2 linked regions of the Anolis sagrei genome follow. The protein of the gene in region 1 interacts with the protein of each later gene in a biochemical or structural test. Links are inferred from orthologs where the notes say so. Each region holds a gene or a part of one and is shown on either strand. Other genes may lie near its edges. The genes, in order: RPS6KA3 and PEA15.

The links.
Region 2: the proteins of RPS6KA3 (region 1) and PEA15 form a complex in vitro, tested with the Homo sapiens proteins (2 studies listed by BioGRID). The link is inferred for Anolis sagrei from reciprocal best matches to the Homo sapiens genes RPS6KA3 and PEA15.

Annotation. Positions count from the first base shown.
Region 1 is NC_090023.1:88,385,908-88,389,829, reverse strand, and holds the start of RPS6KA3 (ribosomal protein S6 kinase alpha-3), read right to left. Parts: upstream 2,969-3,922; 5' UTR 2,608-2,968; coding exon 2,530-2,607; intron 1-2,529. UniProt on the Homo sapiens protein: Serine/threonine-protein kinase that acts downstream of ERK (MAPK1/ERK2 and MAPK3/ERK1) signaling and mediates mitogenic and stress-induced activation of the transcription factors CREB1, ETV1/ER81 and NR4A1/NUR77, regulates translation through RPS6 and EIF4B phosphorylation, and mediates cellular proliferation, survival, and differentiation by modulating mTOR signaling and repressing pro-apoptotic function of BAD and DAPK1.
Region 2 is NC_090032.1:7,494,716-7,498,637, forward strand, and holds the start of PEA15 (astrocytic phosphoprotein PEA-15), read right to left. Parts: upstream 2,444-3,922; 5' UTR 2,190-2,443; intron 1-2,189. UniProt on the Homo sapiens protein: Blocks Ras-mediated inhibition of integrin activation and modulates the ERK MAP kinase cascade. Inhibits RPS6KA3 activities by retaining it in the cytoplasm. Inhibits both TNFRSF6- and TNFRSF1A-mediated CASP8 activity and apoptosis.

The sequences.
Region 1 (3,922 bases):
ATTAAAACGCTAATAATGTCTAAAAGCAGAACTGGATTGTGAAACCACCCTTCCGCTTTCTCCACCTGCCTGCCTCAAGAGGGAAAGAGTAAAAGCATTGGGGTGTGGGACATGATATTAGTCTGTAGCATCAATAACAAAGACTAGTCTTGTAACACCTGAAAGGACTTATCAAATTCATTACTATTTATAGAAATCAGAAAATGTTATCCCTAAAAGTTGTCAGGTAGAGAGAGTGAGTCCTAAAGACACACAATGGTAAAGGTAATGGATGAGTACTTTGACTTAAGAGTAATTGAATTGGGGGTGGGAAAGTGGAGATAGACAGGAGTCGATGGCAAAACAGGCTTCAGATAGGAAGAAACCAAAGCACTAGGCATAAGGGTGGCCCTTCGATGCTTCTTCCCAACTCTCAAAGTACAGATTGAGTATTCCTTATTCGGAAATCTGAAACACTCCAAAATTGCCCATACAGGTGACTGAATTAGTGACAACTTAACTTTCTGATGGTTCAAACTTAAAACACAAATTAATACAAAAATGTGTTTAAACTTACCGTCAGGCTATGGATATGAAACATATGTTAATTTCCTGTTTAGATATACCCATTTCCAAGATATCTCAAATATTCCAAAATCTGGTGTGTGTGTCACCTCAATCAAAAAACGCTTCAGGTTCACACTTGCCTCAAACAAATATGAGTTCTTTCTCCCATCCTGGACATTCCACAGATATATATACACCTCCCCTGCCTAGTTTCCAACAAACCTCACAACTTCTGAGGATGCCTGCCATAGATGCAGGTGAAACTTCAGGTGAGAATGCTTCTGGAGCATGGTCATACAGCCCAGAACACTCACAGAAACCTTATCACTGTTAGTTATCATTTTACATTTTAAATAAAGGGCTTTCTGAAATCCTGGGTTGATATGAGTTTTCTGGGCTGTATGTTCCAGAAGCATTCTCCCCTGATGCTTCATTCTCATTTATGGCAGGCATCTTCAGGATGCGGTGAAACATTCTCACAGATGTGGGCGAAACGTCAGGAGATAATGCTTCTGGAACATGGCCATACAGCCTGGAAAACTCACAGCAACCCAGTGCCATCTTCACTTCCACAAACTTTGTGTTATGTGCAATACATTTAAGAAAGTTACGTATAACCTTCAGGGTATGAATATAAGGTGCACATGAAACACAAGTTAATTCCCTGTTTAGATTTGGGCCTCCTTTCCAAGGTGTCTCATTATGTATATCTAAACTATTTTTAGGTGAATTTGTTGTTTTGAGGCACTGTGTATGTGCCATTGTATGCCGCCTTGAGACCCTGCTGGGATAGAGAAAGGTGGGGTATAAATACGGCAAATAAATAAATACTGTATATACTCGAGTATAAGCCTAGTTTTTCAGCCCTTTTTTTAGGCTGAAAAATCCCATTTGGCTTATACTCGAGTCAAGATTATTTATTATTTAATTCTATTATTATTATTATTATTATTATTATTATACTCTAATTACATTTATTATTTTACTCTATTGTTATTATTACATTTATTGTTTTACTCTATTACTGTTATTATTACATTTACTATTTTACTCTATTATTCTTGGAAAGATGTACAAATATATTTACACTGAAAAAGGTTGGTATCATGGTTTAATCAGAGTTGGACAGTCTTATCTTAAATTACAGTTTTATGTAAATATTCAAAAACATTTCACCTACTGTTTCCTCAATTAATGTAATTTTATTGGTATCTATATTTATTTTGTATTACCGGTAGCTGCTGCATTTCCCACCCTCGACTTATACTCGAGTCAGTAAGTTTTCCCATTTTTTGGTGGTAAAATTAGGTGCCTCGGATTATACTCGGGTCGGCTTATTCTCAAGTATATATGGTAAACACATGAATAAATGCAAATTCATTCAAAAAATGAAGGGGAATCAAAAATCAAAAACACTTTAAAGTCCCAAGTGTTTCAGACAAGGATAAGTGACCTTCACTTCCACAAACTCTGTTTTATGTGCAATGTAATTAAAAATGTTATGTACCACCTTCAGGCTATGTATCTACAGTGTGTTTGAAACATATGCCAATTCCCTGTCATCTCATTAGGAATATCCAAATAATATGCTAGATCAAAAACACTTCAGGTCCCAGATAAGGACAAGGACACTTCCTTAAAGTTGAGTAGTTGAGATAAAAAAACCTGAACGTGGGGTGCGGCACCTCTCCCCAAAACAGGCATGGGTAAACTTTGGCCTTCCTTCCAGGTGTTTTGGACTTCAACTCCCACCATTCCTCACAGCCTCAGGACCCTTCCTTTCCCCCCTCAGCCGTAATTTTTAATTACGCTAAGCGGCTGAGGGGGGAAAGGAAGGGTCCTGAGGCTGTGAGGAATGGTGGGAGTTGAAGTCCAAAACACCTGGAGGGAAGGCCCAAGTTTGCCCATGCCTGCCCCAAACCTTTTCCACACATACCCCCCTTCTCTCTCCCGAGTTGCCCCGCTTCCTGAGGGAAACTCTACCTCGGCGCTGTTGCCGCTTTCCGCCGCGTTCTCCACGGCCATCTTCTGCCAGGGGTCGGCCAGCTGCGCCAACGGCATGGTGGCCCCTTAACCTGAAGCGTCCCTTCCTCCCTTCTTTTTCCGCTTCTTCCTCCTCCTCCTCTTCTTCCGCCGCCTGCTTTTCCTCAGAGTCCCACTTCGGCTCAGGGTCGGGCTCCTTCCTCCTCCCCGCCGCGGGGAGGAGACGGGCGGAACACGCTCCCTTCCTTTTCCCTGCTTTCCTTCCTTCCTTCCTTCCTTCCTTCCTTCCTTCCTTCCTTCCTTCCTTCCTTCCTTCCTTCCTTCCCTCGCGGAGGGAGCGCAGGACTTTCCAAGCCGGAGGGTGAACAACCAGCAGCGCCGCTTCTGCCGCTCAGCCCGCTTCCGCTCCCAATATGGCGGCGCCCGAGCCGTACCTGCCTGTCAAAACGAAGGGGGATGGCGTCATCCCAAGGCGGACCAATCAGAGGCGGCGGCAGGTAGTTTTTAAAAGAGGGCGTGGCTTAGGAGAGGAGGGGGCTGGAGAGTTAATCTGGTTGCGACAGGCGTGGGAGGGGGAAGAGAGAGCCGGGAAGAGAGAAGGAGAAGGGAGGGGCTCCCTGCCTCGCGACAAAGCCCAGCCGGTCCCGCGCGTCATTCCTGGCGCGCGCCTTCCCCGCGTCAGTTCAGTGGAGTGAACCCTTCGCCTCCCCCAATCGCCGCCGCCCGCTTCCAAGCCGTGACGACAGTTCGCAGTTGGAAAAAAAAAGTCATTGGAGTCGTCCTCCTCTCCCTCCTCCTCCTCCTCCTCCTCCTCCTCAGGAAGTGGTTTCCGTTCTGGAGGGAGGCCTTCAGTTCTATTACTTTCGGCCTTTGTTACTTTGGGGATAGTATGATAGCTGTGTCCGGAAGCGCACATTTCGTAACGGCGTTCGTGAATAAGGGAAGAAAAGGGGCGGAGGGAGAACGTGGAGAGCGAAGAAAGGATAGAAAGGAGGGGGCGCTAAGGGTAAGGGCTAAGGCAAAGTTTAGGGTTACGCTTAGGGGTTATTTATTTATCGTGTCAGGGGCAGACCAAACAGTTGCATATGTTTATTTTTTAACAAACAAACAAAACACAAGTTTGCAAGATTGGTAGTTGATTAGATGTCCTTTGACCAGTATCTGGCCACTTGGAGTGCCTCTGGTGTCGCTGCAAGAAGATCCTCCATTGTGCATGTGGCAGGGCTCAGGTTGTATTGCAGTAGGTGGTCTGTAGTTTGCTCTTCTCCACACTCGCATGTCGTGGATTCCACTTTGTAGCCCCATTTCTTAAGGTTCGCTCTGCATCTCGTGGTGCCAGAGCGCAGTCTGTTCAGCGCCTTCCAAGTCACCCAGTCTTCTGTGTGCCCAGGGG
Region 2 (3,922 bases), on another chromosome or scaffold:
ATAATAATAATAATATATAACAAAATAATATATAATGAAACTTTATGTCCCTGAAGCGACTTGGGGTGGTTTCCAGCATATATGACAAACATTCAATGCCAACGAGAAGACATACAACAATGTAGTAGTAATAATAATAATAATAATAATGATAATAATAATAAGAAGAAGAAGAAGAAGAAGAAGAAGAAGAAGAAGAAGAAGAAATATAATAATATATAATGAAACTTTATCTCTCCGAAGGGACTTGGGACAGTTTCCAGCATATATGGCAAACATTCATTGCCAATGAGAAGACATAAACAACAACAACAATATAATAATAACAATAATAATATATCATAATATATAATAAAATAATATATAATGAAACTTTATCTCCTCGAAGGGACTCGGGGTGGTTTCCAGCACACATGGAAAACATTCAATGCCAACGAGAAGGCATGAACAACAAGAACAATATTATAATAATAATAATAATAATAATAATAATAATAATATAAAACTTTATCTCCCTGAAGCGAGTCGGGGTAGGTTCCAGCATACATTCAATGCCAACAAGAAGGCATAAACAACAATATAATAATAATAATAATAATAATAATAATAATAATAAAAACTTTATCTCCCCGAAGGGACTCGGGGCAGTTTCCAACATATATGGCAAACACCCAATGCCAATGAGAAGACATATAAACAACCACAATAATAATAATAATAATAATAATAATAATAATAATAATAAAATACTTTATTTGGAGACCGCCCTATCTCCCCGAAGGGATTCAGGGCAGTTTCCAGCATTTATGGCAAGCAATGAGAAGACATAGAAACAACCACAATAATAATAATAATAATATAGGTAATAAAACTATCTCCCCAAAGGGACTCAGGGCAGTTTCCAGCATATATGGCAAATATCCAATGCCAGGGAGAAGACATAGAAACAACCACAATAATAATAATAATAATAATAATAATAATAATAATAATAATAATAATATAAAACTATAATAATATTAATAATACTAATAATAATAATAATAATAATAGATAATAATACTTTAACTCCCCAAAGAGACTCAGGGCAGTTTCCAGCAACTATGGCAAATATTCAATGCAAGTGAGAAGACATAGAAACAACCACAATAATAATAACAACAATAATAATATAATACAACTTTAATAATAATAATAATAATAATAGATAGATAGATAGTAAAACTTTATCTTCCCAAAGGGACTCAGAGCAGTTTCCAGCATATATGGCAAATATCCAGTGCCAGTGAGAAGACATAGAAACAACCACAATAATAATAATAATAATAATAATAATAATAATAATAATCTTTAATAATAATAATAATGATGATGATGATGATAATAGATAGATAATAAAACTTTATCTCCCCAAAGGGACTCAGGGCAGTTTCCAGCATCTATGGCAAATATCCAATGCCAGTGAGAAGACATAGAAACAACCACAATAATAATAACAACAATAATATAATAAAACTTTAATAATAATAATAATAATAATAATAATAATAGATAGATAGATAATAAAACTTTATCTCCCCAAAGGGACTCGGAGCAGTTTCCAGCATCTATGGCAAATATCCAGTGCCAGTGAGAAGACATAGAAACAACCACAATAATAATAATAATAATAATAATAATAATAATAATATAAAACTTTAATAATAATAATAGATAATAATACTTTATCTCCCCAAAGGGACTCAGAGCAGTTTCCAGCATCTATAGCAAACACCCAATGCCAGTGAGAAGACATAGAAACAACCACAATAATAATAATAATAATAATAATAATAATAATAATAATAATAATAATTTTCCAAGCCACTTTGGGGGAACTTTGGGGCGAGAGAGGGGAACTTTGTGGGATCCAGGCTTAGAAGGGAGAGAGAAGGGCTGAGAGTGGCGCAACAGGAAATAGGGAGATGTTGGGAAGGTACCTGGAAGAGGGAACTAGAACTCCCAAGGGTGGGTGGGATTTGACCATCCCCTCAACCCCAACCCTCCCATCAGGGTGAAGATGGAGCCCTTTGCCCATGTGGGAGAGCGCCCAGAGAAGGAGAGAATGGCAACCTGGAAGGATCAGGGATGCAGGAGAGAAGAGAGAGGGAGGGAAGAAGGGCAAGAGGATGGGAGAGGGTCTGGCTTACCCTCAGGGGCCCCTCCTGGGCACGGATACAGGGCGAGAGGGCGACCCAGAAGGCGAGTGAGGGCTCTTCCTGCTCCGGGCGTGGCGAGGGATGCCTGGCTTGGGCGACTTCTCCTCCTCCTCCTCCTTCTCTCTTCTCTTCCTCCTCCTCCTTCTCCTCCTTCCCAGTGATGTCAGCGGGCTTGGCGGCTTTTGTGCTGATGCGCGCGGCTTTTGGGCAGAAGCCTGGAGCCCAAAATGAAGGGAGGGAGGGAGGGAGGGGAGGCAGGCCCTGTGCACGCGGGGACGCGCGTTCACACGTGACGCGCCTTGGGAAAGCGTGCAGAGCGGGCCGAGCGGGGCTATGCAACGCCCCCTGTTGCCTCCTCGACTCTCATAGGGAATGCAAGTCTTTTGGCTCCACTATAGCTGCCTGGAGTCAATGCTAAAGAAACCTGGGAGTTGTAGTTTCCCAAGGTCTTTCACTTCCCCTGCCAAAGACTGCTGATGCCTTTCCTAACTACTGATGCAATGCATGTACATTGACCTCACTTGAACTGCCCAGGCTCATTGTTAAGGAATTCTGGGAGTTATAGTTTTCCAAGGTCTTTCTCTTCCCTCTGCCAAACTCTGCTGATGGATCTCCCCCAACTATTAGTGCATCACTATATCTTTTCATCTCACTTGAATCACCCTGGCTCAATGCTAACGAATCCTGGGAGTTATAGTTTCCCAAGGTCTTTTAGCGGGCAAAGCAGGGGTATGCAACACCCTCTTTGGCCTTCTCGACTCTCATAGAGAATGCATGTCCTGTGGCTCCACTATAACTGCCTTGAGTCAATGTTAAGGAAGCATGGGAATTGTAGTTTCCCAAGGTTTTTCACTTCCCTCTGCCCAACACTCACCCAACTATTAGTGCATCGCTGAATGTACTTTTTGACCCCATTTGAATAGCCCTGGCTCAATGTTAAGGAATCCTAGGAGTTATAGTTTTCCAAGGTCGTTCACTTCCCCTGCCAAAGACTGCTGATGCCTCTCCCAACTACTGATGTAACACTGTGCAATGAATGTACATCGACCTCATTTGAACTGCCCAGGCTCAATGTTAAGGAATTCTGCGAGTTATGGTTTTCCAAGGTCTTTCACTTCCCTCTGCCAAACACTGCTGATGGATCTCACCCAATTATTAGTGCATCACTCAGTGTACTTTTTGATCCCATTTGAATAGCCCAGGCTCAATGTTAAGGAATCCTGGGAGTTATAGTTCTCCAAGGTCTTTCACTTCCCCTGCCAAAGACTGCTGATGCCTCGCCCAGCTCCTGATGTTACACTGTGCAATGAATGTACATTGACCTCACTTGAACTGCCCAGGCTCAATGTTAAGGAATTCTGGGAGTTGTAGTTTCCTAAGGTCTTGCACTTCCCTCTGTCCAACATTGCTGGTGGCTCTCACCCAACTACTAGTTCATCGCTGTGGAATGAATGGACCTTTTCACCCCACTTGAACTACCCTGGCTCAGTGCTAAGCAATCCTAGGAGTTATAGTTTCTCAAGGTCTTTCACATCCTGTATCTCCATTGTGGAATGAATGCAGTTTGGCTTCACATTGGATCAGCTCAGGCTCAATGTTAAGGAGTCCTGAAAACGATAATTCCCAGGATTCCTTAACATTGAGCTTGGGCTGTTCCAAGTTGGGTCAATATACATTCATTCCACAGTGTTGCATCAGTATTTGGGTGAGTCAGCAGTGCATGG